Linked DNA regions of Caenorhabditis elegans. The protein of the gene in region 1 interacts with the protein of each later gene in a pairwise test. Each region holds a gene or a part of one and is shown in the gene's direction. Other genes may lie near its edges. The genes, in order: ephx-1, hpo-34, magu-4 and psf-1.

The links.
Region 2: the proteins of ephx-1 (region 1) and hpo-34 interact in a two-hybrid assay, tested with the Caenorhabditis elegans proteins (one large-scale study listed by BioGRID).
Region 3: the proteins of ephx-1 (region 1) and magu-4 interact in a two-hybrid assay, tested with the Caenorhabditis elegans proteins (one large-scale study listed by BioGRID).
Region 4: the proteins of ephx-1 (region 1) and psf-1 interact in a two-hybrid assay, tested with the Caenorhabditis elegans proteins (one large-scale study listed by BioGRID).

Annotation. Positions count from the first base shown.
Region 1 is NC_003280.10:4,001,563-4,009,722, forward strand, and holds the start of ephx-1 (SH2 domain-containing protein), read left to right. Parts: upstream 1-3,351; coding exon 3,352-3,455; intron 3,456-5,179; coding exon 5,180-5,269; intron 5,270-5,318; coding exon 5,319-5,528; intron 5,529-6,329; coding exon 6,330-7,116; intron 7,117-7,199; coding exon 7,200-7,298; intron 7,299-8,081; coding exon 8,082-8,160.
Region 2 is NC_003284.9:11,514,740-11,522,775, reverse strand, and holds the start of hpo-34 (ZM domain-containing protein), read left to right. Parts: upstream 1-3,709; 5' UTR 3,710-3,758; coding exon 3,759-3,786; intron 3,787-3,830; coding exon 3,831-3,931; intron 3,932-3,988; coding exon 3,989-4,042; intron 4,043-4,254; coding exon 4,255-4,335; intron 4,336-4,386; coding exon 4,387-4,452; intron 4,453-4,495; coding exon 4,496-4,596; intron 4,597-4,653; coding exon 4,654-4,771; intron 4,772-4,817; coding exon 4,818-4,922; intron 4,923-4,969; coding exon 4,970-5,071; intron 5,072-5,117; coding exon 5,118-5,225; intron 5,226-5,271; coding exon 5,272-8,036. Other genes in the region: Sex determination and dosage compensation protein sdc-2, read right to left, coding at 1-37.
Region 3 is NC_003282.8:10,006,266-10,016,255, forward strand, and holds magu-4 (PDZ domain-containing protein), read left to right. Parts: upstream 1-3,487; 5' UTR 3,488-3,550; coding exon 3,551-3,837; intron 3,838-4,197; coding exon 4,198-4,375; intron 4,376-4,417; coding exon 4,418-4,663; intron 4,664-4,741; coding exon 4,742-5,027; intron 5,028-5,070; coding exon 5,071-5,318; intron 5,319-5,368; coding exon 5,369-5,604; intron 5,605-5,648; coding exon 5,649-5,819; intron 5,820-5,872; coding exon 5,873-6,183; intron 6,184-6,228; coding exon 6,229-6,477; intron 6,478-6,523; coding exon 6,524-7,226; intron 7,227-7,269; coding exon 7,270-7,444; intron 7,445-7,634; coding exon 7,635-7,730; exon of another isoform or gene 7,731-7,780; coding exon 7,781-7,849; 3' UTR 7,850-7,942; downstream 7,943-9,990. Other genes in the region: F44D12.2 (DUF7622 domain-containing protein), read right to left, coding at 7,980-8,097, 8,141-8,256, 8,520-8,720, 8,764-8,934, 8,986-9,142, 9,368-9,535, 9,965-9,990.
Region 4 is NC_003280.10:9,966,883-9,973,369, forward strand, and holds psf-1 (putative DNA replication complex GINS protein PSF1), read left to right. Parts: upstream 1-1,790; 5' UTR 1,791-1,798; coding exon 1,799-1,897; intron 1,898-1,943; coding exon 1,944-2,008; intron 2,009-2,076; coding exon 2,077-2,152; intron 2,153-2,203; coding exon 2,204-2,293; intron 2,294-2,338; coding exon 2,339-2,548; intron 2,549-2,628; coding exon 2,629-2,694; 3' UTR 2,695-2,748; downstream 2,749-6,487. Other genes in the region: dtmk-1 (Thymidylate kinase), read right to left, coding at 1-102, 157-199; R53.4 (Putative ATP synthase subunit f, mitochondrial), read right to left, coding at 594-695, 742-985, 1,050-1,165; R53.5 (Peroxiredoxin-like 2A), read right to left, coding at 2,811-2,932, 2,977-3,196, 3,241-3,372, 3,418-3,603; aakg-5 (CBS domain-containing protein), read right to left, coding at 4,672-4,833, 4,943-5,766, 5,978-6,286, 6,371-6,487.

The DNA of each region.
Region 1 (8,160 bases):
AATTGCCGTTCGGCAATTGCCGCGCACCCCTGCCTAGGACGCCTTAGAAACAGGCAGGTGAGGTCACCTCGAAGTCAACCAGGCGTCGATGTAGGTAACCTCTAAGGCAAAAGGGCACTTGTAGGTCGTCTAGAATACAAACGTAGGTAGGTCTGAAGGCAGGTAGGCGTAGGCCTGCCAAAACTGTCTGTATTTTTTTAAAGTAACTGTGTTCTGAAAATTCTTCAAAAAATGAGTATGAGAATGCCTAAAAGACTTAGAAAATTTCAAAAATATTTTAAATTCCAAAAAAGAAAATTTCAGAAAGTTCCCAATATTTTTCTTTTCCGAATCCTCGCTTTAAAATGGGCGATAAAAATCTCCAAAACGTTTTTTTTTCTTTCAAAAAGTTCAATTTCTCGCAATTTCCCGCCTCCCATATATCTTGTCACCTTTGGCACCGAAGCGAGCCGCTTCTCTCTCAAAAGTCAATTGATATATTTAATAGAGTGCAGCGGTAAAATCTTTACACATTTCGTACGAGAGCACTTGGCACTGGGACATTGTAAATTGAACAGGAAAATAGAAATAAAACTATTATAGATTCGCAACAAATAGTCCAATTGACCATCAAATTTTAATACAATAACCACCGAATTGTCTTCCAGCTGACTGAGCACCTGTACGGAAACGATTTGATTCTTTTGAGAACGAGGAAAAGGGAGTGTGAACTTGTACATTTGCATGTCGTACTACTACATTTCCTTTCACTCTCTAAATCTCTCGTCTCTTCTACTATAAATCCCTTGAGGGTTATGCAGAAAGACCAATCCCCCCTCTCACTCGAAACCTCTCTTTTACACAATCGGCGTGGGCTGTTTACTTTTCATTAGTATCAACAACAGTGTTTCAGTTTTCGGTTCTTTTGAACTTTTATTTTGATTTGGAGAATATTTAGTGCAAGCACGTGGTGTCAGGTTGCCCCATTACAATTTGATCTACGAAAAATGCGGGTAATTTTTTCCCAAAAAATGTGACGTCAGCACGTTTATATCCATGTAAAATCAGTTGAAAAGACAGCGTCTAAATTCCCGCAATTCTTGTAGATCAAACCGAGATGGGACATCCTGACGCCACGTGGGCAAGCTTATTAAGCTAAATTTGCTTTTTGAAAATTTTTAGAATTTTTCGTTTTTTTAAGAAAAAAATTTGACATTTCTTTAGACATTTGTCTAAAGAAATTATGATACAATTTTTAGTTAAAAAACCCGATTAATTTCCAAAAAAAATTCCAGAAAAGTATAATCCCTCTAGAAATCGATAAAGTAGTCAAATATCTGAAATTGTCTTCTTTCGGAGCTAGCTTGAATATTTTTGTCAAAACCTCAAAACTTTTCAGAAAAATTTACACAATATTTTCGTACCTATAGAATTTCCAGGAACACCTAGCAGAATTTTTTAAAGTTATTTTGATCAACTAATAATTCAAAAAAAAGTTCAAAAACCGGAAAGTGTTCGAAATCATTCAAGAATGTGTGTTGTGTATCTGTGATTGTGCAAATAGTCTTTTGTTACGCTCGTTTGAAAGTTCAAATATTTGATTCTGTGTGGGAGGTCACGGGAGCACAACACCTTTTAAAATAGTAGCTAGAAAACTAGTTTTAAAACTTCTAAACTTTAAAAAAATCTGAAAAGTTCTAGTTTTGACCTTTTTCAAATACCAACCAATTTCACTTTGTCATGGCTTTTCCGTATGTGTCACCCTTCCCCTCGGAACAATATTACTCTCGACTAGCAAGCTGTTCATCAATCAAATTTCATGAGTTATGAGCGTAGATGCCATTCTGCGCTTTGTAAATACGTAAAATTCAAGGGTTAGCTTTTTATGCGATTTATACTTTTTTGAAAGTTTTGAAAGTCTGAAAATTTAGCAAAAATTCAAAAAGAAGGATATGCTTAAAGCCCTAAGAATTTTTCGTTTTAACCTTGAGGATTGGTCGAAATTTAATGAAGGTCGAAGAGAAGTCTGAAATTTTGGAATTAGATACTTAGATACTGGAGACGAGCCTAAGCATAGTCCTGAGCCTAAGAATAAGCCTAAGCCTGAGCCTTTAGACTTTCTTGTGAAGCCTGAATCTAACTAGTAACCCTCCTAATAAGCATGAACTCTGAGGTAGAAGTGGTGCTCTTGAAGCATAAAAAAACAAAAAAACTCAAGTGCAATATTGCAATATCCATTTCGTAGTCCTCTCGAATGTCACTCACCCATCAACATTGTGCTCGCGGTCAGTAAATGCAAATTGCAATCCTTGCCTCCCGTATGTTTTTCACACATTTTCCTTATCCATCTGCGTCTCCTCGTCTCCCGATTCTCGCGCATTGACCACCACTGACCATGGTCTCGCAGGAGAAAAGGCGCTTCCTGTCGTGTGTTCTGCTCATTGTGCAGCACTTTTGAAGATTTTGCAAAATGCATATTTACTAGGAGAAGCTTTGTATAAAAATTTCACTTACCATTTAACCTCACTTCAGAAAAAGAAATGTAATTGACCCCCATTTTTCAAGGTTTCTTTGTTGTTAGAGTCTATTGTACTAACTTTTTTTATTCTTTTAAGTACTTCACACATTTCTTTGGCAAATTGGAAAAATGTTGAAAAGGGGGTCTGTATTAAGTGCTGGTCTGGAAGTAGCCATTACATAGCTGAAGCAAAGTAGCCGAGACGGCTAGGTCGACAGACTAGTTCTGTTCTTTCTGAATAAGCTTTTAAGAAATATTTTTATAGTTTGCTTCTAATTGTAATGGCGCTCGGCAGGCACTAGGCATGCACTAGGCAGACACTAGGCAGGCAGAAGGTAGGTTCTAGGCAGACATTAGGCTGGCACTAGGAAAGCACTCTGTAGGTCGTAGATAGGAAGTGCCAAATAGGCACTAGGCAGGTGCTAGGCAGACACTAGGCAGGCACTAGGTAGGCATTAGGTAGGCCCTAGGCAGACACAATGTAGGCAACCCCTCCTCGGCTTATCATTCCCAAAAGCTCTTGAAAAGGAAGATGTTTTTTTCATCATGAAAATTTTTTCCGCGATTTTTTGGGGAAGTGTGTATGTGGTGCGCAGTATAAACATTCGCCCCAATCATCATCAATATTATTGTGCTCTTTTTCCCACTTGCTCTCTCGGGGGGCTCCACTCACACATTCAAATGTTGAATCAAGCGATTAACCCATCGAGAGTTGTTGCATGCATCTCCTCTGTTTTCTTTTCCTCTTTTTCTCGCTTTTTTTGAAAAAAAAACTCTATTTTTAGATTAATAAAACATAATCAAATAAATATATGAAATTTACAGTGTCTGGGGGTAATCTGAGCCAAAATCTAATGTCCAATGCACCATCAACGACGACATCAGAAGCCCAGAAGATCGCGACAACGACGACGACGACGAAAATGCGATTGCCCAGTGTTAAGGAACTTGCCAAGAGGTAAGACAGCATTTTTTATAGGATTTTGTAGAGTGTAGAGATATTTTAAGGTTACTGTAGAAGTGGTACTATAAGGTTTTTGGGGTACAGTACTGCAGGGTAGTAGGGTATAGTAGGGACACTGTGGGGGTACTGTAGGAGTACGGTAGGAATACTGTAGGGTACTGTAGGAGTGATATAGAGGTATTGTAGAAATACTGTAGGGTGGACTACTTCAGGGGTACTGTAGGTACTGTAGGAGTACTGTAGGGGCAGTGGGAGGCTTTCACAGATGTAGTGCCGGTAAGGGCACTGTAGAGGAACTGTAGGAGTACTGCAGAAGTGTTGTAGGAACCTGTTCGACTATTTTAGGAGTACTGCATAGGTACTGAAGGGACAAAATGAGGCTTTTACTGTAATAACATCTGTAGTACCAGTTTAGGGTACTGTAGAGGAACAAATTGGAGTACTGTATAGGTATTGTAGGAGGATAACTGTATGGGTACTGTATGAGTACTCTAGGATAACTGTAGGGGTACTGTAGGAGTACTGTAGCTTTTTCCCACTTTGTACGTGTCATCGTTGCTTATTTTCAGCCAAACTTTTACCAAACATTTATTTTTGAAAAACTGTCCCCGCCTGCTTGTTGACACATAGATTCTATCCATTTTTTCAAAAAATATTTATTTAAGTTTAATTTTGGCAGCTCATATCTAAGTTGTCATAGTTTTTTATCAAAAAGTTCTTAACTGAGAAAATCTTGGTTTTAAATTTTCCAATAGTTTTGCAATTGACCAATTTTGGATATTTTTGAATTTCACCGGAATATACATAAGCTGCCAAAGTGTAGAACACAAAATTTTCATACCAATAGAATAACCAGCTAGAAAATTAACTTTTCTCTTGTCCTATGCTTCTTCGTTTAAAAAAAAAGTTTTTTGTTTATATGTCTGCAATTCAATTTCTGTATGATTGTCAAACAAATACTACTTTTCCTCCTCCTTCACACACTCACTCCAACACAGTTGTTCTCCAGCCAACAATAGCAGCACATTACCCTTCGGTTGATTGACATAATATATTGAAACCGGACAGGAAGAAAAACGGTTGAAGAAGTAAAGAGAGACCGAGGGCGTCGTCATTTCTTCCAGAAGCTTCTTCGTGGGAAAATTGTTGGAGTTTTAGAGATGGTTCGGAGAAGTTTGGCAACTTTTTATGAAGTTTTACTCTAATATCAGCTCAACTTTGAAAGCTTAAAAAAGCATTAAAAATGTTCAGAATCTTTTGGAAACTTTCTCCAACTTTCACCCAAACTTCAACTTTAGGATGTATATTATTTGGAATTTACCATCTCCTAGCTTTAGCGCCTGCCTGCCTAGGAACCTACCTACCGCATCCCTCTCTTCATTAGTACATCTCTGAAGAATTTCCAAAATGTGTATGTCTCCCCGCTCCCCCTGCCTTATCACCATCATTTTATTATTATTGTTATCAAATATTCCCACCACGCCTCATCACTGACCACTCCTTTTTACGATATGGTCATTTGGAGAGATTGTTAAACAATTTTTGAGTTTGCCGAAACGTTTCGTTTTTTGTAGTATTATAGAATGTAAAATTTAAAAAAAATTGCGCCAACCAATCAGCGACGTTAGCCACGCCTATTAGAATACGCTGATTAGTCGGCGACTTGTTGAATTTGCAATTTTAAAATTGATCTTCCAAAAGCTATTTCCGATTTCCAGATTCGAAACCAGCACAAGCCGAATTGAGCACCACAAACCGGTGATCTCCAAACGAATCGGCAAGTTCCGGGTAGTGGAAAACCTTCACGAGTAAGTAATTTTCCTCTTCAGTTTTGCTCTTAATTTGCTTGTTTTTCAGGCCGTGCACATCACGAGTGCTACGTGGAAGCGCCATACCGCGACGGAAAAGTTCGTTGAAACGACGAACGCGGAGCAACTCGGAGCTCGCCGTCCTGGTCACATCTTCTGAATTTCGGAAGAGCAAATCCACTGGCGACTTTTCACCGACGGGTGCCGGAGCATCGGGTGCTCCAATTGTGATAACACCGCTACCTGCACCTAGATTACGGTAGGTGAAATGAGGGGTACTGTAGGAGTACTGTATGACAACTTGAGGGGTATTGTGGATTACTGTAGAAGAACTGTGGGGGTACAGTAGGGCTACTGTAGGGTATTGTGGGATACTGTAGATTAATGTAAGATTACATCGTGGGTACTATAGGAATACTGTAGGTATTCTGTAGGGGTACTGTAGTAGTACTGTAGGGGTACAGTAAGGTTACTGTAGGGTATTGTGGAATGCTGTAGGAGTGATGTGGGGTACTGTAGGGGTAATTTTAAAAAATAATGTTTTTAATCAAAGTTTTAAAGTTGTTCTGAAAATTTTCAGTCTAAAACTTTATTTTAAATAATTTAGTTTGAAATACTATACAAAAATTGAACTTTTGGCAATTTTGAAGCTTTATAAATTTTACAACAATAATCTTTTACAACAATATCTTCAAATAAAATTTCAAAAAATTCAAATTTAAAAATTTCAATTCAATTTCTCTTCAAAACATTTCAGTTTCCAAAACCTTCCGGCTTTCAAAATCTTGATTAAAGTTTTGAAAAGTTACTTTTTTTACTTCAATAGAATACAATTTTATAAAAATACAAAACAGACAAATTTTTAAATAGTTCTTTATAAATAAAGCAAAATTTCAATGAAACCACTTCGAAAAACCATTAAAAATTTCAAACAAAAAACTAATTTCTAAAAAAAACTTTTTTTTTCAATTCCACCCACAGTGACTCATTTTTCGAATGTTTCAAGGTTCTCTATGATTCACGAATCAGAAATGTAAATAAGAATCCCTTTCTATTTCAGTCTTCAAACAACAAGCATGATTGTTGAAAGTTCCCCTTCTCCATCTTTCCATTCCAAAAAAGATGGTCACCCAGTGTACGAGGAGCGGTGTCGAGTGTCCTTAACAATTCCAATTTCTTCGTCAGAAGATCTTTCCGCTGTATCTCCACCACCACCTCTACCATCTGTACCTCCGTCTAAGGAGAGGATCAAGAGGATTCCTTCCTACCTGAAGCCTACTCCCGCGCCGAGGTCTATGTCTGCCACGCTGCCCAGGGCTCGTCTGAAGACCCCACCACCTCCACCCCCAGTTACCAATCAATTTGACACCCTGCCGGTCAGTTTCCGGAGCAGCTCAACATCCTCCAGCACAGGAGGTCTCCCGAGAATCCCGAATATCCCCGTCCCAGATGTCCCTTTTATTCCACTGGATGACGACAACTGTTACGATGAAATTATGCTGGTCACGCCATCATCAAACACATGTATACCTACACATCAACGTCTAGAATCCGAGTACACCTATGAATCTCAGTCTACCGACTTTTCAAGGCCGGAGCCTCCTAGAGCCTCCGGGTCAGAGCCCAATTCAAGCAGACGGGCTTATCCTCGGGATGAGGAAATCTTTGATGAAGCTGAAGAGGAGCTTCTGGAAGAACAAAGATTTCAAAAAGTGCCGGAAATCAAAGAGCGCTTCCTTTCCTCAACTCTCCAAAGGAATCCAAAATCCTCGAAAAGGATGAGCTCAATGGAGCTGGAAAAGCTGTTCAGGTTCAAGAGCGAGTTGCAGCTTAATTTGTCGAAAAAGGTTGGTGCTTTGTTTTTTTTGTTCCTTTTTGGGTATTCAGAAAACAAAACAAGAAAGACAAATCAAACTAATTCTGATTGAAGGTTAGCCAATTACGGCAGAAAGTCGGCGACAAACAAGCGAAGAGACGATCAAAGTGCCACGTCAGTGTTGATCTACTGGACACTGATTTTAGTTCTATGGTGAGTTTTTTGAGAAAAAATATCCAGAAACTAAAAAAATTTATTTAAAAAAATTTGAAGTAAGTTTTTTGAAAATAATTTCTGAAATTTCTAGGCAGTTTTTTAGAATTATTAAAAAGGTTTACTCTAAATTTTTTGAAGCAAATTTTTGTTTATTGCATTTTTAGTCAATATTAAAATTTTTTTAATAATTTCCAGGAATTTGATTTTTCATTAAAGTCTATTTTTTTCTGAAATTTCAAGTCAGTTATTTCAAAATTCTATAATTTTTAATTGAAATTTTTATAGATATTCTGTAATTTTCAATCAAATTATAATATAAAAATTTTTGGAATTTTTTGTCAAAACTTTAAAGTTTTCATGACACCTCTGATTAAATTTTTTACCTGGAACTTGAAATTTCTGGTCAAATTTTTTACATGTTTTCTAAAATTCCCAGTTAACATTTTAGTAATTTTTTTAAATAGAAATAGTAGAAAACTCCTTAGATTTTCTGAATTTTCTGGTCATAATTTTTTTGGAGTCTATGAACTTTAAGCCAATTTAAAAACGGTTTTTGAGTTTTTCTGTCAAAGTTTTAAAGATTTTTTTGAGTTTTTCAGGAAACATTTTTAAATGATTTTCTGAATTTTTTGTTGGATTTTTCGGTTGACGAATGAATTTCCAAAGTAAAAGTATCCAAAAAATTAAATTGAAATTTATGTAATTTGTTTAGGCAAATTCCGGAATTATTTCCATTTCCCTTTTTTCACATTTATTTGTTGTAATTTTTGAATTTTCCAGATGTCAAAATCGTCTTGCGTTGACAAGCCGTTCCAGGATGACGATCACATTTATGGGGATGATTGGAGCAGTGATGATG
Region 2 (8,036 bases), on another chromosome or scaffold:
TTTCACTTTGATTTCCTAGTTCTGATTCATCACTCATAAGTACCGGAAGAGAAAATCACGATTCTGAAAAATAATATATTAGTGAAAATAACGAAAGGTTCTTGAAAAAATTTTTAGACAACGGGCTGTCGCAGAAAAATAAAATTAAAATTAAATGTGTTATGGTAAGCTTTTTGAATTTTTTCAACAAAAAAAAAGTTTTGAAAGAATTAATTTTGAAAATAGTGAAGAGATTGAAAAAAAATTTTTTTGAAAATAATGAAGAGATTGAAGCCTAAAATAACAGAATCTAGAAAAGTAGTCAAAAACAAAAATTGATACTTATTGGTAATTTAGAATTCAAATGCCTTAACCTTTGTGAACTATTCCCTACTTTGTCTTGGTTTCACCAGTCCTGTTTTCTCTAAGTCTCCATTTTCTGTTTAATATGTTGCGAACTGGATGGAGAGAGCCATGGTGGAGAGCGCAAAGAAACGATAGATAGGAATGAGTGGGAAAAAAGGAGAAGACCCAAGAGACATCGACTGAACCTGTGTGGAAAACGAGAGAGTAGAGAGAACAAGGATACACAACTGTGACAGGGGCATGGAGACTCAATAAGAAAGCGGAGGCTGCGTTTAAAGTTATATGGATAAAATAAATTTAAAATATGTTTAGGATAAATAATTTAACTAAAGTTTTTCTAGCTTTGTATAAACGTCAATGTCACGCGCAATTCTGATAAGAAACTCTGCGTAAAGTTTAACCTTGTACAAATGTCGTATACTTTCGATTCGAAAGTAAAAGTGTGAAGCTAGAGGAAAAAAGGAAAATATCACACATATGTTGAAAGAAGTTTCATACAAACATTCAGCAAAAACTCCTACGCAAAATAACATCAATATTAATAAAAATGAAACTAAAGTAAGGTACAGAATAAACAAGTGATTTAGGTATAATTATCGAAAGGGCTCAGGCATCTAATCCGATAAGAGGAAAAGTCAAATTAATAAGTATATGTACAATAACTGCAGATTGTCTTCATCTTCGAATGTGCCAAATTCTATAATGCCGTGAACAGCGCGTCGTTACCGCAGCTCTGACCTCTGCCGTTTTGCGTTGCGCTATGCAGTGATGACCAACGGTCATCTAAACAGCCGGCTGGACAATCGATGATTTTTACGTCATACAAAACGGGGTTGAGTCGCGTAGAAACTGTGCATGAGTCGATATTTAGAAAAATTTATGAACAATTATGTTGACGGGAGAAATGGAAGATGCATACTATCAATGGGAATACATAATGGGTATGTGTAACAAATAATTTTGAACAATTTTAACTGATCCATCGAATATATGTTATATTTTTTAATAATAGGTTGTTCAAAGACCATGTTCCAACAGCAGGAATTTTTTAAAATCAAACTATAAGTAAAACAGTTTAAGTAGTGCATTTTAATAATAATATAACTTTCATGCAATACTATTTTTATGGGTCGTTTTGAGTGCAGGGCTATCAGTGATACAAAACTAATAGATCTTACAAGTAGAGATGCGCCAGAGACATTATGTGAACAACACATTATTATAACCGAAATGCCTTAAATTTTTGAAAATTGTGAAAGCTGCCTTCTAAACCATTTCAAAAGAAAAACATCCATATTGAAAATGCTTCAATTTGTAATAGTTTTTTTTGCCTTTCGAGGTTTCCGTTAAAAATTGCCAATAATGTGTAAATGCTACACTAGGAGCACTAGGAGCTCCATTTTTTCGAAAGTTATAAAATTTTTGTGCCATGCTAAAAAAAATTACAAAATCGTGAAAACTTTTTTCCAATATCCAAATTAGTAACAATTTCAGCTTGTTCTACTTTTTTTGTGATATTCAAATATTTCAGAACTATCAGGAAATGATTTAAACCCTTTTCCTACGGTTGGCGTTTTACTTACAAATACCAAATACACATTGCCATTTCCAGACACTTTTTTGATAAAGACGACCATCTTAAGAGTTGAAAGACCTGTTTTTGGTTTCATAGATGATTTTAATTAATTATTTAAAAACACTTTTGGCTTAAAACATTATTTTTTCAAGAGAGACGGAGAAAGATAAATTTCCATGGCAACATTGTCAGCGCACGAAGATTATACAACCAAGCATAGAGATTGACGAAAGATTTGTTTCCTCTATTTTTATTCACAGTTGAACAAAAATTGTGCATGTTGCTGTAGAAATGGACAGATTATGGAACTATTAGATGAAACGCAGACTGTAGAAAAATAAAAATGGCCCGAAAATAAAAATCAGTAAATATGTTTAACTGTATCTGAAACAAAAAATAAATGATATGTTGAAAAATTTGCCATTAATGTTTTATTAAACCAATTTCAGCCGTATTCTATTATGGCACGAAAAACTAATTTCCCGAGTGTTCACAGGATTGCAAGGAAAAGTTCGATGCCGACCAACAAAACATTAATTTTCGTTATAACTCAAATTCGGTAGGATATTCGAAGATTTGAACATTATTTTTCAAACATATCCATTATATCCAATTCTCGAATTTTTTGGGTATGGCATCACAAAGTCATAGTCCGTTTCTGCGTTTTTCACTGTTTGGAATTGTAACTTTAAAAATGTATCATTTTGTGTCTGATTATTTTTTGCAACTCTTAAAAATTCTTACTTACTAGTTTTGCAATGTAATAATGTGTTATACAAATTACAAATGATATCTAAATAATTATATAATTTTAAATGTATAGAAAACTTTTACTTGTCTCAACATGACAATTTTGTTAGTCAAGCTTCAGTTTCCAGTCAAATAAAACATATCACACTAACAGAAACATTTTGGATAAGTTTTTGATTTAAAATTAAATTTTTATCTTTAATTTGTCATTGTCGTTTTCTCGGGAAATATAGTGTTTATCAAAATTAGAATGTGCGTTTAACTAAAATGTAGGATTTCATCATATTTGTAATTGAGCATTTAATAAGATGTTTTCTTGTGTCTTGAAATAAATTCAGATGTATGAAAAAAACTGTATTCGTTCAGATGACTTAACGTCCTTTCAGAGCAAATATTTTCGGGTACTGGCAGACTGTAAACATTAAAAACATCGACATTCTTTTTCTCTTTGTCACTTTAGCAAATATCATCTGCTATAATTTCCACTGCAAGTGCAATGCTTGTTACCTCCCAACTGGAACACTGACAGGTTAAAAAACTATAAAACGCTTGCTTCAAACAGCATGGAATTCAGTTGGAATATAGACCCATTTCTCTCCCATAATTTTAGTTTAATTTTGAACTTATGTTTCCTTTTCTGACATTAAAATATGTTCTCATGTTCTAAGCGTGTCTAAATGGAAGTCCCCCAATAAGTCACAAAAAATTATTATGCTATCATGTAATGTGTCCGGCAAAGAATCATTTATAAATTTCTCTGCGTTTATCAAAATTAAACGTGCTCCAAAAAGTGTGCTGCGTGTCACATACTATCATACCGGTCGTTTCGAAATTGTTCTCTACCCTCACTTTCCCCTTGTCGTCGTGGTTTATCATCTTACATCAAATGGCAGTTATCATCGGCGCCGTGTTTGCCGTTTGTAGCAGAGTTAAGAGCCCGACTGCTTTTTGAAACCAATCTTCGCGTTTTACTTTTTTTCGCAACAATAATAATAATAATAATGATCTAACAACCTTTTCAAATTTAATTCTCAGCTATTTTAGGTTACCTATTGTTCGTGGATTGGAAAAAAGAACCGAAGAAAAAATGATGGAGACTAGGAATGCCAGTGATAGTAAGTATGACATTAACACATTTCCCAATTCCAGTTTTAAAAAGGTTTGATGGACCAAGTCTTTTCTGCTGTCACGCTTCCTGCTGTTGGACAAACAACTACCATCATGGAGCATCATCAAGAATCTCACACTGTTTTTCACCAAGTAAGAAAATTTTTGAACAGTTATTTTGTTGATATTAGTTATTTTATTGAATTTCAGGAGAGTCATCATGTTGAATCTCACCACGAGCATATGGAATTCTCCTCTTCTGGGGTAAGCAAATTTTTATTTACATTGTAAAGATTACTTTAACTTCAATTATAATCTGATTTTTTTTACTTCTGATTTGATAACTTATCAATTTTTTGCTCATCAAAACTGAAAATCAGTTGGTGCTCTTTGATTTCCGTGTTCGAAAAAGAATGACAGTATCGATTGATTTAAGAACAATTTTGTTGGAAAATGAACAAAAAATATTTTTTCAGGTTATCGTAGGAAACGTTGTTGGTCATGATGCCGTTATTCAACGTCGTCCAACTGTGGATACTGAAGATCAGCGGTCGGAGGTATATATTAAAATTAATCTTTCATTATTTTGAAAAAGAGCATTTATTTAGGTGTCCGCAATGTCAAAAGCCACATCAGTTTCTGTTCATTCTAGCGTTTCTCAAAAATCCGCTCAGGTATTTCAGTTCGAACAATGAAAACTATAAACGCCTTTTTCAGCACTACGATCTTCCACCTATCCCACAGTACGACATGCCTCCGATTGTTGTTGGGGAAGCTGTTGTTGGAAAGGCACCATCAGTTGCTTCTTCCAGATCAGGGTATATCTTAAGCTCACTCTACTGAAGAAATAATAAATAATTTTCACACACCTACAGGTCCCACCATTCCGTCGCTTCGCATCATTCGCATCACTCCCAACATTCCCATCATTCCGCTTTGACTCATGACAGCGAGTCGACTATTTCCGAGGGAACTCTTGTGAATGAGCCGATCGTCAGTTTTACAAAGATTAAAAAACAATTTATTCATGATTTTTCAGGTGGTCGGAGCACATGTTGCATCTGAAGCTCCAACCCCACTTGCTGTCGGACAATCATTCGAGCATGACGCAGTGATTGAGCAATTTAAAAATCTTCATGGAAGAGTAAATAAACATTTTCAAACTTAAAACACCTATAATTTCTTTTTCAGGATCAATCAGTGGTTTCCAGCATTGTTCCTGCCTCAGTTCACATTCAAAGTGACAGCGAGGACTCTATTGCTCCATCAAAGTTGACTCACTCGATTGCTGTTGTACGTTTTTAAATGACATATCAGTTAAACTGTGAATTGCTTTCAGGGAGGAGTTGTCGATTCTCACAATGGTGTCAATGTTTTGCACAGAAGTCACGAAGTTGAATTTGTGGACTTTGCTGCTCCAGCTTACTACCAACCACCATCAGTTGTCGTAAGTGTCAAGAGTTTGTGTTTTTTATTAATACAGCTTTGTTCAGGGCGCTTTTGATGCTCATAGCGAGGATTCGTTTGGTTTTGAGAAGGTGGAATATGTGGACACTCATGAGGACCATCACCACAAGTTGGAGGAACAAGTTCCGCAAGTTGTTCATGAACATGTTATTGAACAGCATTACGAGCCTTATCAAATCGTCCATGAGAACCATAATGTGTTATCGGTCGATTTCGGAGAGGATCAACACTCCATAACCCATCATGATCATGACCACCACCACCACCACCATGAATCCCATGTTACCCATACCTTCACCTCCAATGTGAAACAGTCCCGTTCTAACACTGCCTCCACTTACCAAAGTCGCCAAATGTTAGCACATAATGTTGGGCCTAAAATTACTGAGGAGTTGCGTCCGGCTGCGGTGCTGGAGGAGGAAGAGGTTGAGGTTAGGCCCCCAGTGATGGCCTACGTGGCTCCAATCCCAGTTAAGCCACCACGTACCCACGAAGAGAGTCATATCTATAACGCGTACGAAACGGAGATTCATCAGCAAAAGGATATCGTCAAGTCTACTACTGTTGTTCTGGAAGATGTCCGCTCAGGATCTGAAGGTATTCATATCCGAGCGGATAATTCTTCATCTGTTGATATTATAGGTGTTAGCTCCCTTCGCAGAAAGTTTGAGCATGGTGCTCCACCACCATTGTCGCCTGTCTTTGAAATGAAGAAGCATGAGCACCACAAGCATCTTGATCAACACCATCACCACAAACACCAAGACGTCGTCGTTGAGCAAACGCAATTCCAGGTCGGCGATAACTTCATCTCTTCTTCTTCTTCTAAAGCAATAGAGAATCATTATGACGTTCCTTTCGATTCTTATGAGATAGTTGATAAATCTGAAAACACTAAAAAATCCTCATCCTCTTACCACGCCTCCTCCTCCTACCACAAGCAAGCACCACCGCTGCCACTAGTCGATTACCATGTATATGACACGCCAACTGTTGAACATTTCTCCCATTCGCCAGCTTTCTATACTGACGATCAGCGCCACCATTATGTTCCCCAAATCAAGGTGATAACAGAGTATCGACACATCAACCCTCGTCATCATTACGTGGAAAGACAAATTAGAAAAGCTGATGGAAGTGCGATTGCACAAAGTCCGCAAGTTCAAACGATTGACTATTTTAAAGAAATCAACAGGGCTCACCATTTTGTCCCATCTACGCCACCATCGCTGTTTAACAACAAGCGAGAAAGTTTCCACCATCACAGCTTTATTCCAAACAGTTTGGAAGCTGAAAGAAAGAGTCGTAGTGTTGAAAGAGCGCACCATTATCTCCCAGATTCACCAGCGAATGTGAAAGATCAGAGAAAAATAATCAGGGAACATCATTATGTTCCTCTTGAGAAACGCTCTCAATCGTTGGATTTAAAAGTAGTTCATCCTGAACATCACTATGTTCCACTTGTCAGAAAAACAACGGAGGATCATCAACAAAAAGTGAATCACGAACATCATTTCATACCAGCGGAGAAAAAAACCGAAGCAGTCAAAGATGTTGTTCACGAGCATCACTACATTCCACTGACCGCTCATAAAACTGATGAACATAATGTGAATATCACTCGAGAGCATCATTACATTCCGTTGAAAACGGAGCAAGTGCAGAGCAAAACAGAAATTGAACGTCACAATCAATACGTTCCAATGACTACTCACAAGGAAACAAAATCGTTTGATACTGGAAGAAGCCACTCTTATATCCCATTAGGTGGAAATGTGGAGCAGTCAAAAACCGAGATTTTTCGTCAGCACAACTTTGTTCCTGTTGTTGATAAAAAGGAAAAAAACGTCGAAGAAATCAATCAAAAGCATAATTATGTGCCAGCTCATTCGAATGTGGCTGTTTCCGATAAAGAGCCGATAAGCCGTCATCACAACTTTGTGCCGCTTGCAACCAAAACTGTAGAAGAGACGCGTCACTCTAACGACTTAAGTCATCATCACTATATGCCACTGCCAGCAAAAAGGGAAGAGGGAAAGACGGCAGCGGGTGATAAGGTCGGCTACGAACATCACTATTACCCGTTGGCATCGAATACTGAACGAGTTTCGGTTCACAAAGGACAAGAGCACCACTACGTGCCTCTTATTGCTAAACCAACGGAGAGTCACGCTTCCAAAATTGTCATTCAGCATCAATATATTCCGCTAGCTATGAGACATCAAAGTGTACCGAGACTTCCTTCGGAGCACAATTATATTCCGATTGCTATTCATGACGATTCGCATCAAAAAGTCGATTTGACGAACCATCAATATTTGCCACCTATTGTTAACGCCGAACAGAAAGAAGCTGTTAAGTTGTATGAGCATCAATATGTTCCACTTCCGCCCAAAAAGGATAGTTTCGCGGTAAGAAAACTTGAAGGAAAAGACCACCATTATGTTCCTCTTGTCCAGAACTACTCATCAAAAGCTCCACAACTTCCACGAGAACATCATTACTATCCGGCACCTGTTCGATCAGTAGAGCATCATCAAAAACATGTTCATGAGCAACATAACTATATTCCTGCAGTCCATCATCATGAAACAAATCATCAACTTGATCGTCAACATGGATATATTCCAGTCGCTGCAAAACACGAAGCAAAGAAAAATGTACTCTATGAGCATCAGTACATTCCGCCAATCACGAGAACGGAGCAAACGAATGGTTATGATAGAAGACACAATTATGTTCCGGTTGGAAAAACTGCAAAAGCGACAACGACAGACATCCACGTGCATCA
Region 3 (9,990 bases), on another chromosome or scaffold:
CTTGATCCACATTTTTAATACATTTCTACTACAAATGTTAAATTCCAGTTTTTAAATTTATTTTTAGTCAAGCACGGCAGTTCTTCTATCCTTCAAAATAAGCGATCAAAAATTGGTTTTGCAGTCTTTGATAGTACTGAACTCACAAGAAATGGTAGCGCATGTAGAGGAAATAGAGGAAATGTGTGAATTTTTTCAGTCATCTCAGGATAACATGTATCTGTACTTTTAATATACCGTAATTTCCCCATTATACTTGCACTGCCTTGCTCCACTTTTACAGCTTTCTCGATTATCTTTGTTATATTTATTCATATAAAAATTGTTAACTGACAAAATATATGCAGAACATTTTTTTAATATTTATATAGTGGAATTGTTTTTGATAAGACTTAAGACAATCGAGATATAAACCGTCAAAATAGATCATTGGGGTGTAAGTCTAATGAAAAATACTATTCAATACTCGTTTTTTGCTCTAACATTTGTATATTTTATAAAATTTATATTTTATAATATTTTACAAATATTTTATAAACAAGATGTTTGAATTAAGGTAAACTAACTTTGCAAAAAACTTAACGTTTCAAAACGAAAGAAGACATACAAAAATATTCGGTATGTATGTGGTGAAGGAAACTGGTTAAACAGTGTCCTTGTGGTCCGTATCGGAAAATTAGATTGTATTCATTGATTATCTTTAAACGGATCATATTACTTGATATTATTTTATTTCAGATACGATTATCTAATTCAAATTAATGGCAAAGTATCATCAGCGGGGATTTTTTATAGTCTAACATGACCGAATATCAATTGAACACTTCTAAATTTTCAGTCAAAGTTTTGGTAATTTGCCAAATTTCCAAAAAAACTTACTTTTGGAGTAATTTCGAGAATTGCTGCAGGTCCGCTAGAATGTACGGACAATTAATCGAAATTAAAAATTCACTTCGAAAACTATGATAGGTTTTTTTACCAAAACAAATTCAATACATGAATAGTTTTAAAATAATATCTGATTCCATTAGTCCCATGAACCACTCCAGTTTCATGAAATTACAGTTTCATTGGTTTATTTCTCGGTTATTCTGATAGAGACAAATATTACCAATTTAGAATGTAATGGTAAGTCGAGGTAATATATATATTTTGATGTAAAAGAGATTTGAAAATCGGTACCTGTTAGGACACCGCATTAGCCAAATTGATCCATGTGTTCTACATAAATTTGCAATTTAATACAAGTTTGAAAAAACTTAAATCAAATTCTCGACCTACCATTTCGCGTACTTTCGCTTCGAGTTTACACCGTATTTAATTTCAAATTTGGGTTATAACTTAAAGGGTGGAGGGATTTTGAGAACTCACTACAGTATGACAAAAAAATCACACACTCCTGAAATGTTTCTTTGGTACAGTTGCACATTTCATTTTACCGTAATACCGAGTAGAAAATTTCAAAAGAATTACTCCTATTTCAAGATTCTAGATTGCAACGATAATCAAAACAATATTAATAACTACATGTGTTCCTTGTGGTATGCTTCTCGTCCTCTAGTTCTCATAAAACAAACATGGTCAAGTAAGATTCCAACGTGAATGAGATGAAGAAGCAGTAGAGAAACGAGCGTGTTTGTCCATGCGTCCCATTCGTACAGTTTCTTTGGTTGTCTACCTAAACTCTCTTGTTTTCAAACACTATTTCACCCACCTTCTCCCGCATTTCTCTTTCACTTTCCGGGAGGAACTGTTCGTTCGTCGTGCGCCCATCGCAACCGACCTGTATCTGTATGTATCCTCTCATTTCTCTCTAATAACCTACTTCTCTTCAATCTACTTGGATACATGATTTGTTATGAAATGTTTTATCTTTTATTATTTCATGAAGTTAGAATGTTCCTTATGAAATTGAGTTTACCATCAGAAGTGGATTAGAATTTAGTCAATGGGATTTCAACTACATTTAAATCTCAGCTATGTATTAAAGATAAAATCATTTTCACAGAAATTTTCTATGAATTGTTACTGATAAACGTCTATTTGTAAATTGTCAACATGCTGTGAAATACACCTAGGACTACTAGCCTGAAATTATTCCTCAACTCCAGTGATAGGTTTCTTTGGTATATCACCCTAAAAACTAGTTACACCTGCCTCGTAGGCACGAAAGTAGGCACCCTCTATTTGCATGGAAGCCCTATTATATTATAGGTAATTTTTCAGATTCACAAGAATGACATGTAGTTCAAGTTCAATTAAAATTCCTACATAAAATTCCCTACTCCTTCTCCTACTCTTTTCATTTTTCTATTTCATCTCAATTCAATTTGAACAAACTTCAAACAATTCGTTTCACACATCACAAACATTGTAAATACACATATATCGTTTGTTGAAAAAAGTCATGTGGGTTTTTAAGGTTAAAGTTTAACCGATTTTATTACACTATCTCTCACGGTTGAAATATTCAAAATAATATTTTCTTCTAGAAAACAGCGTTTCTACATATTCTGTTAAAGCTAACGGCCTAAATTTTAAATCGACTCTATTTTTAAAAAATTGATCAGGTTACCAACTAGCGATGTTTTATATTTTGTTCAAAGGTAGGAGCTCCAAAGTTTGTCAAAAGTCAAAAAAAAAAGCTTAAAGTTTACCAAGAGCCAAGTAAAAATTTATATTATCGAAACATGGAAAAACGTATCAAAACATAGTTTTTTGTTAAGATTCTCTGCCTTGTATGTTTGTATTTGAGGCGATGATGATGGCAAGACTCGTATGTTTATTCTTTTCCTTTTCCTGCAAACTCGTCTTTTAACGGATTATTTCGGACCCATGCACCGCCCATCTTGACCGTATTAAGACAGTTTTTGTGTGAATTTTCGTTGGATCGAAACACTGTGAGTATTGTTTTTATTTTGAAATATATGGATCTTATAATCTGAATGTTCAGTTGGAATATCGCAGTGTGGCTTTTGATCTCCGCACACACTTCATCTGATTGGTATAAAAATATGTGGAACAAATTACTGATTATTTTCACAGTTTTCATTTTGAAAGAAATTCAAACAGTGAGCTTAGTCAGGTTTTGGGAAAATCGTTATCGAAAGTTGAGTTTTTCAGTATTTCTAGTTTTTTTAGTGTTTCGTTTGTGGTATATGTTCCTTCATTTCATTAGCAAAACAATAACGTTGGTCTGTATTTCAAAAATCTGTCATGTATTTCCAAAAGAATATTTAAAAACATCTCGTTTCTATTTTCAAGTGCCTCTATTTTCATTCTTGTAGTAACCTTCAAATTCCAACTAATTTTAACTGTTAATTGAAGGAAATTTCTTCAAATTGTGTTATTTCTAATTCACCCGTCTTCTTCTTTTCCTCCATCTATTCCATACGAACCGAATGAACAAATCAGTGTGATATTCCTGCGCATTCGACCGGTTTCTCACTTATTTTCTTTCTATCTTTTCTCCTATTCCATCTTCTATAATTAGTCCTTTCCGTATGTCGTCCAGTTGACCCATTTCTCCGTTTTTCATTCAGAATTCTATATGGTAGAAGTGGAAGCAAAACCGTCGAGTTTGTCAGTTGAAGAGGATGAAAATGAAAATGAAGAGGAAAAGCTTGAAGATGTGGAAAAAGAGAAATTAGTGAAACAGTTAAAGTTTGAAAAAGCAGAACGAAGACGGATTGCAGAGGAAATGGAAAAAGAGATTCGAGAAGTTGAGGCAAAATGGATGGAAAAAGTTAGAAAAGCATCTGAAGAGCGAGATGATATTGGAAAGAAAATTGATGAGTTTGAAGAGAAAATTGATAGTCTACAAATACAAGTACATAGGTTAGTTCATGATTTAAATCACTAGAAAAGCTCAAAAATGTTTATTGAAAATTAAAAAGACCTGGAATTGGTACCAAAATGTATATGATAAGTGGTAGTTAACTTCCTGAAATTTCGAAATAAAATCAATATGTCATTTTTGAGAGAATTTGTTGGTGCACTTTAAACTAGAGAATTGTCGATCTGAAACTTTTCGGGCCAGTTTTTAATCATAATGATGTTGTAAAAAATTTGAATGGCTTTAAAAATTTGAAATTCAAGTTTTTTTAAACGTTCGAAAATAATTTTCAGCAGAAGAAAACTAATAAATATTTAAAAACCATTGGAAAATGGCCCGTTATGAAAAAAAATATATTTCAGAAGTGAAACATATAAAATGGAAATTGAAGAAGCGAACAAACGGCTACGGTTACAATATGAAGCTCTCCAGAGAGATTATGAGGAAACAATGCAGGAAAGAAGTATTGTATTAGAAGAAAACTCTCGTCAAAATGAAGAGAGGGATCGACTGCAAAAAGAAATTGAAAAAATGAAAGAGGTTTGATTTTACAATGACAATCAAATTAAAAAAAAATTTCAGGATTCTGAAGAAGTTGCTGCATTAAAACAGAAACTTGAAAATACAAGAAGACTCTTGAAAGTCAATATGGAAGAAACTGCTCAGGCAAATGCTCGAAAAGAAGCTGCAATTGCAAGGCTTACAGAAGCAGAACAAAATGGAGCTAGAATTACAGAAGAAAGAGATGAAGCTTTGAGAAAATGTCAACAGACAACTGGAGATGCAATTGTGGATATTTGGAATACTCATTCTGTTCAAATTAATTTGGTAAGTTGAAAGAAAACTCATTTCAATCGTTTCGTTTCAGACAGCCAAGATAAAAATTAAAAACGAAATTAATTTCAGCCCTTCAACAAACCAAACTTGGGAATTATGCTTGGTGGAGGCCGTACGGACGATGGTTCAATTGTTCATGGTCCAATATATGTTAGACAAATTGCTCACGGTTCTCCATTTGATAATGTATTGAAAAAGCTGGATCATATAATGATGGTCAATGACATATCTGTAACAGATATGGACGAAAGAAGTGTAATGGGAATGTTATCCAACTGTCATCACATTCATCTTGTTATTAGAAGAAGATCAAATTGCAATAAAATTAGTGATGTTTGTCTGCCATTGAACTATGGTGAGTTACTTATTACATTTAAGAGTGTAGTTTTACATTTCAGGTGTAGGTCTTGAACTATCCAATGGAGTATTCATTAATTCCTGCGAACCAAACGGTGCTGCTTCTCGTAGTGGATTGGCTCCAGGGCAACGAGTTGTTCATGTTATGCACACTCCTGTTTATGATGCTAAACATGCTGAGATGCTAATTAAAAATTCTCGAGAGCCTCTAGTCATTGGAATTCTTCAATCTACTAAACGAGGTGATCATAATGGAAAGGATAAACATCGACAAACTATATTTTCGAGGGTAAACCTTCGTTATAAAATGCTAGTGAAACTTTAGTATTCTTGTTTCAGTGGTTCAGTCGAAATGGTGGATCTGATAAAGAGCGAACTGTTGTTGCAAAAGCGAATATTGATCGTTCAAATGATCAAGTTCTTCTTCGTCAGGGATCTCTGCGAATGCCACAAGCTTCTCCAGCATCAATGAGTCCCTTGGTACGGTATGGTTCTCTACGTGCTCCAACCTATTCAAGTAGCATTGATCATACAAAATTAATGCTGGATGCACTGGATAAAAGATTCAATGCAAAGTTAGTTTCCTTCAAATTTGATTACTACAAAGTTGAATGTTCAGATCCACAGCGCATTCTGAAATAAGTTCATCTTCAACAGCCGCTCCAACAGCTTTATGGAGCCCATCTTCAGTTAATGAAAAAGATCTCGTATTTGCTGGAACCAATATCGAAGGAGTTCCAGTATATGTTCCTAAGAGTACCATATTTAGCACACCAACGTCACCTGTGACGTAAGATTCTTGACATTTTTAGTCAAAAAAAAGAAGAAAACTCTGACTTTCAGAAGACTAATCCGTCAAAATAGTGAGCAAAAACGAACAATGTCTCAAATATCATCTCATCGAGGAGGATGGGATGGAAGAAGCTTTTCATCGAACACGACAACTTCAGATGCTCGTCCATATTCTATGCACTTCACACCTACATCATCAACTATAATGGAAGGAAAACCCCACAGAAGATCAGCTGTTTACAGTCCAAGTCATCCACCAGTATATCCTACAATTCGGGATGACTCTATGTCTTCTGTTATGTCTTCGAGTAACTCCATTCGACTTCCAAGCACAAGTTTTTCCAATCAGTATCCTAATAATTGTAGGTTTTCAAAAGTTAACTGCTGTAGTCTAGAAATTGTTTCAGCTACCTGCAGCTTGACTGGAGGGAGTGGAGTACCTCCACGTCATTGCATAAGTAAAGATGGAAGTGATTTTTCAATTTCAACAACTGGAAGTGCAATGCACAGTTACGCTGAGGGAAGATCCAATAAGAAATATCACTTGCCACGTGGAAATCATCACTCTGAATCTCTTCTTGTAAACCGTTCATCTCAACCGAGACTGGTCGAGGTTCCAAGAAGTGATGTAAAACTTTGTGGTGGAAATGCGATTGGTACGAGAAAGCAATTCATGTCAAAATAATCTCCGCTATATTTTAGGTATCCTCGCTGAAAAATCAATTGGTTCTGACCTTCTCGAAGGAGATCTCATTTTATCAATCGATGGAAATTGCGTTCGAAATACAACACTCGAGTGTGCAATGAATACTTTATCAGCTGATAATTCGGAGTTAACAGGTCTTCTAGTTCAAGACGGTGGAGATCGATTGAATCGTTTGAGACTTGGAGCTGACGGTGACAGTTTCTTCCTTCGTGTTAATATCGATAGATCAATGGAGAACAAAGATGAACTGGATTTAAAATGTGGTGATGTTGTTTTCGTTGACAAGACTATGTTAATGGGCAAAACTGGAAGATGGAGAGCATGGAAAGTGGACAAAGAGGGACGACAAAGAGAACATGGAGCTATTCCAAGTTCAACGACTGTTTATCAGGCAATTCGAGCTAACAGATATGCAAATCCGTTCCCGAAGAAGGCTTATGAGTGGGTTGAGAAGTTGGATACAAAAGTGAAACGACCGGTTCTTTTGTTTGGAGCAGTTGTTGAGCCTTTCCTTCAAATGCTTGTTGATGAATCTGATAAGTTTTCAATTGTTGCAAGAGAGTCTTTAACTGCAAGTTTGGATGAAGTATCGGCTTTATTGAAGGATAAAGTATTGATTGATTCGAAACAAAACGATGATGTTTATGATCTTTATCACGTCGTATCAACTGCTCATATTATGGATATCACGGCTCAAGGGTTGAGTTTTCAAACATTTTCATAGTTATGCTGAGATTTTCAGACTCCATTGTGTCCTCCAAGTTGATCAGTCTGCAATTGATCGATTGAAAAGATGTAGAATGTTCCCTATTCTTGTGAAGATTCGATTCAAGTCAGTTAAACAGTTAAAAGATGTCAATGAACATATTTGTGGAGAGAAAATCAGTTCAAAAGAAGCCAAACAGCTTATTGAAAAGGTACGGTAATTTACGAAAACATAATTAACCCGCCCGGTCTCTACCGTCGTCTCATTGCCTCTCATCCAAAAACGCAGCGGGCAATTGAAGAGGCGGATCAGAGGCTCTCATCGGAGTCTATAGAAACTTTTCACAATACTTTTTCGAAACTTTTCAAAAAATTTTCGATATACCAATAATTAATTTTCAGGATTTGAAAATAGAAAAAGATCTTGATGGATCAGTTACACTTGTAGTGCCAAGTCATAATAATGTCAGCTTCATGATGACTCACGCTGTTCTACAGGTAATTATTCTTTCAATTCGTGCCGCACTTAACTTTTTATTATTTTTCAGCTGAAAAAAATAATTGAAGACGAGCAGAAAAAAATCGTATGGGTTCAAAGAAAAGTCGATGAAGAATAAATAATATTGAGAAAGAGAACATAGAATCTCCGGTGCTTTTATTGTTTGAAAATGAAGTAATTTGAAGAAATATAAATTTGTTCATATGAAAATATTGAAAGCATTTGTAAAAATGAAAGAAAAAGGTGGTTCAGTGGAAAAGGCAATAATTAATTAGAAAAACGATGGGAATGGCAAGAAAAATCGAGGATGACGAGCGAGCGGAGTCGATGTAGAAAACATTGAACTCTCGGAGATTTGATATATTTCTGAAATAATCAAAATTATTTCTCAGTTGTCAAGAGTCACAACCTGTATAAATATAGCTCAGGTGGCCAAGAGAGTTCAGCTGATTTGAGATCAGCATTACAGTAAGATTGATCACAAATCCATTGCTCTAAGCCAGTGTATGCACGGGTGTAGCCAATCTGAAAGCAATAATTCGTAAAAATCTGAAATCTGATAATAATCGTTTAACGTCTAATTACATCATCAGTTCATTTTTTAAAGTTCTTTAAAAATTATCAGAAACATGTTCGAAATTTTATCCAAAATTTTCATAAATTCGAGTCGATAATTATTTTCTGTTTTATTTAAGGCTCAAAAGGATTTTTGAAAAATTATGTGGGTTTTAGATACTGCAATTCATAATTTTTTAATTAAAAATGTTTACACAAAGACAAAATCTAACCTTCAACGGAGTGGCACCCTCGACAGTCACACTGTTAACACAACCTCTGAACACTTCTCCACGGGAAGTCGCACTTATGAAACAGAACTGTCCAATACAAGAACTTCCGGACTTAACATATGGAAGACGTGGATTAAAATAATCCACGTGGCATTCGGTTGTAGCAGTTGTCACGTCAAAGACTAATGTTGTGTCGAGAGACTGTTTTAATTATACAATGAATTGAAAACTATTCCAAACTTACATCAGAACCATAACATGCATGTGTGTCCGGTTGACCTCCATAGTTGAGCCATACGCATGTTCCAGGATAAAAATTGAAAACTGTTAGAGTTGGGAAAAAGTCAAATTCATTCTCCTTATTGCAGTCTTTGGTGGACCAAGTGTAATTGGCACTGTTCACTTCAGTTTGAGTCTGAAATTCAATAAAATTGGAATTTTCAGTAAAAGTTCAAAGAAAGAAAACCTTTGCCTCAATAAAAGTACAATAGTTTGCAGCACACGGCTTTGTCCATCTGGGTTTTGGCATGTTGTTCACTTTTTCTGGTTGACAAGTCTGAACGGGAAGAATTGTTGTAGCAGTGTCAGCAAGTGATGTGTAGTTGGCATTACAGTAGTCAGCGCTGGATGTTTCAACAATTTAATTAGTATTCATCCTTTTTTCAAAATTTTTTTAGTAAACTGTAGAACGGGACACCCAGGAAATTTTTACCTTTTTACTAGAGTTAACGGTTTTTATAAAATAATTATCACCGACATAAGAGTGTACAGAAGCAACATTGAAATTGTTTTTTAAAAAACTTTGACGATGAAATTAAATCAAGCTTTGAAGTGAAATACCAACTTACTCTGAACAGAAACACATAACATTTCCATGATGATTGACTCTACATCCTTCTGGAGCAACTTCCCCTATAACACATCCTTTTTGTATCGTTGGCATCATTTCATTTCCATAAAAATATTGAGCATGATAACAGAAATCTCCCCGACATGTACTTCGAGAAAAGTTGCATCTAAAAATATAAGAACATTTTTTCCCGGTACTATTGCTGTTAGATTTTCCTATTGTTAGATTTTATCACTAGATTTCCGAGAGTGTTAAAGATAAAACATGTTGGGCGACCAGAGTGAAGATACAAATAAAATTTTCAAATAGATTTTTATTTAATAAAGTTCAAGAAAATCGTGTTATGCGCTGACAAATAGGAAGTTGTGTTCTCAGAACTTTTCTCTTGAAATATATAAAATTTCAATTGAGATGTTGGCAGGAGTTGGATTATTCTTTGAATTAATAAGCTTTGGCTATTTTTTACCTGAGGTTTGCCATCTTCCTAACCAAGTTTACACTTTTAACATAAATTATAAACAAAAATAGATGTTTCAGAAATTTGGAAATCAACGTTAAACTATTGTTAAACTAAACATTTATTAATTTAACTCACTCTTCATTTCCAAATTCACATCTTGA
Region 4 (6,487 bases), 6.0 Mb from region 1:
CGGCTGATGGGGAAGATGAAGCATCTCCGGATTCTGTGGATTTTTTGTTGATGGACTCAACGAGTCGCTTGGCTTGTGTCGACTTGCCGGACCGATCGAGCCCTGTTAAAATATTAAAATATTGATATTTCTTTAAAATTAAGCTAAATCAAATACCTTCGAATACAATCAGGAGCCCTCGTTTCTGATCAGTAGCCATAGGTGAAGAGATGAGGCTCTGGAAATAAGACAGCATGGAGAAATATAAAATAAAATAGAAACATGAAGACGCGCTTCTATAGAATCGGAACTTTAGATCTACAGATTCAAATCTAAAGATAAAGCCGACAGCGAAAAAATCCAGAAAATCGCATCGGCTATCTAACCTTCTTCTTAATATTTCTATTCAACCGATCCATACACTATTTATTCTCTCATAGAAAAAAGACACAAACGGACAAAATCGATAGGGGACTAAATTAACAGAAGACGTCTCGAGAATGAGATGAATTGGGGGAAAAAAGAATACGAAAAAATCGGATGGCTGTTTCGTCCTCCCCCAGCGACAGAGTTTGTATGTGGAGCTTTGAAGAGTAGACGAAATCGGATGGTGTCTACCAATGGTACATCGTCTTCTGGAAATCGACGTAACGGTGAGACTTGACGAGCCAATTGAGGAACGAGTAGGCGAAGATGAAGCGGAAGATTACCTTGACCTAAAAATAAAAAAAATTAGTATTTTTTTTTTAAATTTAAACGAACAGTGTTATTGTAGACTGGTCCTGAGTAATAGAGGTTGTGGACTCTCCAGATATTGCGCATGAACTCGTTGTAGAAGGCAGATGGGGTCTTCTCACGACGAGCCATCCAGGCTGGAAGATCTCCTAGCTTCACATCCATGAACTTGGTATCAAGCTTTCCGTAGTATCTCCAGTGGCAGTATGGTCCGTGAACGTTCTTGTTCCATCTCTTGTCGAACAATCCAACCTCGGTCTTGTTCAACACGCTAAAAATTATATCGGTTATTTTTGGAAAAGAATTTTATTCGTCGTTTTCAGACAATGACAAACCGGTTGTAGAAGAACACTCCGACACGCTCAACGGCGCGAGAGATCGGGATAAAGATCGCGTCCGGAACCCATGGTCTGAGTTGAGTGTGTGGTGGTGGAGGACGGAACCAGGCCATAACTGAAAATTCGAAGAATTAAAAAAATAAAAATAAACCAGATATTTAATTAAATAGTGAGAATCGAGTAACGATTAAGCCAAATAATCAATAAACAAGAAATTAATTAGAAAAACAACCAAAACAGGCATTTTGTTCAATTTAGCAAATATACACATGAATATCAGGAAGAATATACATTTAAAAAAGAACGTTCCAGCTCCAATAATCCTTAACTATGTGCTAAATATTGTTTTAAATATAAACATGTATTTTTGTAAACATTGATCATTATCGACCATGGGATTACGTTTCAGTAACGCCTAAAACGAATTTAACTCAGAATTTAGTGATATATTTGATTTTAGAAGAAATTAATTGAGTAAATAATGAAAAATCGTCAATATTCCACTTTTAAAAAATGCTTAAGAAAAATGTGTGCAGTTTTCAACGGGCGGCGATACATTTCGGCTAATCGCTGCGAGACCCATGGCCGTGGCCGAGTCTACAACTAGTTCACAAGAGCCGAAATGGTGGGAAAGTCGAGGACTTTAAATTTAATGTTTTTTATTTTCGAATTTAATATTTAAAATCAAGTATTTCCCTTTAAAATTTTATTTTTCAAATCAACTTTTAATTTTTGCAGTTCAAAAAATGAGTTCCGGCGATCAGAATCGAGGAGGCGTCGCCGACAAAGCACTACAACTTGTTTTAGAGATGAAAAGAAATCCAGATGTATTACCGCCTTATAACGTAAAATTATATCCTATTTTCTGCTTTAAATTTGAGTTCTTTTCAGACAGAACTTGTACGCCAATGTTATCAGAAAATCGATGAGTTGTTTCAAAAGAATGCTGCCGTCGTGTAAGTGATACATTTCGGAAGCGTACCGATTCGTTCGTGACTTCTTGATTTAAAATCATATTTTTCAGTGAAAAAATCCGTGCAGGACTCCCTCATGATTCTACGCTTCTTCAACCTCGTTTAGCTGCAATGTGCCATATTCGAGTAAGTCGAGAAGGTCGATTTTTGAAATATTGTAGTGGTTCAATTTTCCAGCGTTGCATGATGGCCTATGTGAACGAGAGGAAAAACAGGATTCGATCATTCAGATGGAAGTATGGAGGTGCTCTTCCCGCGTCTGTTAGGGTAATCGGTGCACATGATTAAAATTTGTCAACCATTATTTTTCAGAACGCCCTCTGCGATGCGGAAATTCAGTTTTTCAATGAGTATTCGAGCACATTGGCAAGATTCCAAAGCAATCTTGGAGAAGGTGGTGTTAATCTGCTGCTTCATTCTGCACCACCGAAGTCACTTTTTGTACAAGTTAGAGCTCTCGAGGATTATGGAGAATTTGAAACGTCAGATGGAACTCAAGTTCAGCTGTCCAAGGATAGTTTGGTAAGTCTTCGAATTTTTCTTTATTTGAAAAAAGAGAAATCCCGTTTTTAATTTTTTAAATAATGTATAACATTTTTCAGCACTCCCTTCCACGCCAAGACTGCGAAATGCTGATACGTCAGGGTGTTCTCGAGCTTGTTCATTGACTTGTTGTCGGTATTTTGTTTTCAACCTGTGATCTGTATAAATAGCTTCTTGTCAGTTTATTTTACAAAAAAAGTAGCCTCGTTTAATTAATTAAGAAAACACATAAGTTAAAAAATTATTTCGACTTCTCCGAGAATTTCTCGACGGCAGCACGAACTTCCTTGATATCGGCAGCATCTCCCCACTCCTTCTCCAAATGAGTGAACACGATGTCGTTGTTAGCAATCAAATAAACACCTGAACAATTATTATGAAAAAATAATTTTAATAATTTTTCGTACCTCCCAAAAGTCTTCCCTCTCCTTCCATGTTTCCCTCGACCTTGGCTTTCTTTGCTTTGTAAACATTCGAGTAAGTTCCGAAACGAAGAAATCCCATCCAAACTGGCAGCCAGCGTTCGTTTGGACCGTAGAAAGTGCGATCAGTGTCCAAATAGACATCACCGCCGGAGAACCAAGACTTGAACTCATTTGCTCCACGAGTCTCGTGCACAACGGCGGCCTGAAAGCAAAGTTTTAATTTTTCTATTTTGAAGGAGCGCTTACCAGTTCGATTCCTTTTTCCTTGAGCAACGGGAGCAGTGTGTGCAATTCAGCAGCTTCACGACGGCACAGCATACATCCCGGACGACGTACAGCCATCACCATGATCGGACCTTTCTTGAACAACGAGTCGGCCTGAAACTTCTCAAATAATTTTAATTTTAGAGTGAAAATGTTTACCGTAAACTGCTCATTTCTCTCCACAACTTCTTTTTCCTTCGGTCCACCACGAATTGGGACAAGTTTTGCGGCCGCCAAATGAGCAAAGGTTGGAGCAACAGCTCCGATTGTCAAATAAGTGGGAAGATTCGCGTAAACGAGAGCTCCGCCGAGAGCAGCGGCAGCTCCATAACCGAGAAATGCCATTTTCTGAAAGAAGAAGCTTTGGAAACTTGGAGTTATTCGAAAAAATGGTGACCACTTTGAAAATGCACATTAGAGACATTATTTTTGAATCGTCACAGCAAAATGAAATGCTCAGAAACTCGTAATTTAGTGAAATTCGCTATTACGGCCTTTTTTCAGTGTTTAGTTTTTTCTCAAATGAAAAGAAATTGAACTTAACATTTGGCTGACTAGTGAGTTCGTCGCGAGACCTATTCAGAATACTGTATGCGTCTTTAAAGTGAAGTGTTAAGTTTTGAAGTAATTATGATACAACTTTTTTTTCGTGGAAACTCAGTAAAAAATCGTCTAAAAATAAAAGAATAAAAAGAATTTCTGTTGGGAAAAGTTGTGTATGTGAAAAATGGTAAACAAGTTAGAGTGTAGTGTCTTATGGAAATAGTATGCAATTCTGAGAGAACGCATAGAAAAACGCTGATAAACACTTTTTGGTCGATGAGCTCTAGGCGTTCGAGTTTTTTTTTCTTCAAAAAACACCAGAAATCTCAATTAATCTGAATTAATCTGAAATATAAAATTTCTATGAACTTCAGATATCATTTTGTTCTGAAAATAATCACTCTACAACACATTGTTTTAAATACTCATTTGAAGAAGGAACAACTTCAGAATTCAAGAACAGTTGAAAATCGGGGGAAACATCAATTTGAAACAGGAAAAGAAGGAACAGAAGAAACCGAGAAAATAAGTACATTATTATGGAAGTGCATGTGATTTGTCAGGAGGCATGAAAAGTGAAATTTGGGGTTACAAATTATCCCCAAGAGGTAGCAGTAAAGCTCTAGGTGTTGTAAGAAGAGAAAAATGGGACCGAAATGATGCGGAAAAACCAAAAAAAAAAACAAGAATATGATTATTACAGGAAAATGGTAAACATTGAGCGAAACGATGAAGATTAACTGGGAGAAAAAAGCTAGGAAACGGTTGAAATTCTACTTATTTTAAACGAGGAATCGGGATAAATAATGAATGGAACAACGGAAATCGAGAAAATGCATGGATAAAACGGGGAATATTTATTGGGAAAATCTAAAGATTCTTCAGCTTGCTGCAGACATTTTCAGTGCTGCTCGAATTGGATTCCGGAGTGGGTGGCATCGCTGGCTCCTGTGATGGTTCTTCATCAGTTGTTGCCAATGGAGAACGAAGAATGTGTGATAGGAAATCTGTTAGAGAAATCACACCAATCGCCTGAAAATTATAAAGTTTTGAATAATTAGAATTGCTTTGGATTATTTATTTTTAGTTTAGAGATCCAGAGATCCTCTAAACTAAAATAAAAATGTTGTTAAATTTATACCTTTCCATTGTGAATAGCGAATGCACTTTGTGTGTCTCCTGCGAGTAATGTGTCTAGAACCTGCCCAACGCTGTCAGCCGACGAGATCAGTATTTGACTCTTACAGATGTGAAGAATATCAGACACTTTAGTCTCCTGAAGCCAACGCTTTGGTTCGATGAAGTTACGTGGAAGTGCCTTGCAAATATCTGTCTTCGTGATAACGCCGATCACATTTTGCTTGGAATCGACGACTGGAAGCGCGGAATAATGGAATCCTAACATATCCTCCATAGCTCTGTATACGGTTTCATTCTGAGAAATCACTGCAACATTCTCCCATGTTCCAATGGCAGACATTCCAATCGATTTGGACAGCCACTGTGCAAAGTGAAGACTTCTGTTTTGCTTGTGAATTGCTGCGATGACACGTCGAACAGAAATGATGTTGACAACTTCTTTCGCATCATCCAAGACCACGACTCGATGCAGACGATTCTGATGAAGTTCCTCGCAAAGATCCAGAATTTTCGACGAGATTGAGACACTGACCAGTTGATTTCCACTCAAGATATCCGAAGCTCTGAGAACTTGACCATCTGCCGGTGGTGTTTCGTTTCGGATCGCATTAAGGCAATCAGTGAGAGTTAGAATGTTTCTCTTCACATGACGAGCATCACTGGTATCCCAAACGATTAGAGTTGTGATGTTGTGATCTCTCATGATTCTGAATGCCCGGGTAGTAGGAGTCGATGCATCAATAATGATCACTTTTGAGTTGTTTGGGCAAAGTTCATACACATCCACGACTGACATGTACTGATGATAGGGATCCGTTTTTTGATCTGAAAATATGATTCTATAAAAATAATTTTTCTATTTGCTCAGACGAGAAATTTGCTCAAAATACAGTAACCCGTCTCGACAAGCTTTTAAAGAGTACTTGAAATTGAAGTTTGTAATTACATTACTCTTAGTGGTGTCGAGACCGGGTAGCGTATTTTTGATGCAAAAATTGCAAAACTTCGTGGTTGGGTAGAACAGTTAAAATCTAACCAATAACTCCAACGACATTGAACGAGATCGGACGAGACGTTTTCCTCAGAATCAACAAATCCGAACTATTGGATCGCGGTCTTCGGAATCCATTGTCATCATCGTAGAAGTGTGCATGTTTGTCTCGAAGATCGTAAACCGCTTCCACGTTGCACTCAGCCACCTGTACACGTCTTGTGGCTTCTGGACGACGGAACATACTGGCTCCTAGACTTCCGGTGCGTGGATGGATGAGATCACGAACTTGAGACAAAAACGATGGGCGGCGACCACTTGTCGAGTTACGACGTTGTTCGGATGCTGGTGTGTCTGGAAATAAATACTTTATTAAAATTCTAAGAGAAGTAAAAAAGGGAAATTTGTATTCTATTCAGAAGATTTTTGATAGCTTACTTATATTGTTATCCACCTCATTCTCCGCATCAACCATCACAACTTCTACCCGATTTGAAAACTGAACACTTTTAGGCCCTGCTGTAAGGCTTGGGATCGCTGAAACCACTGTTTCAT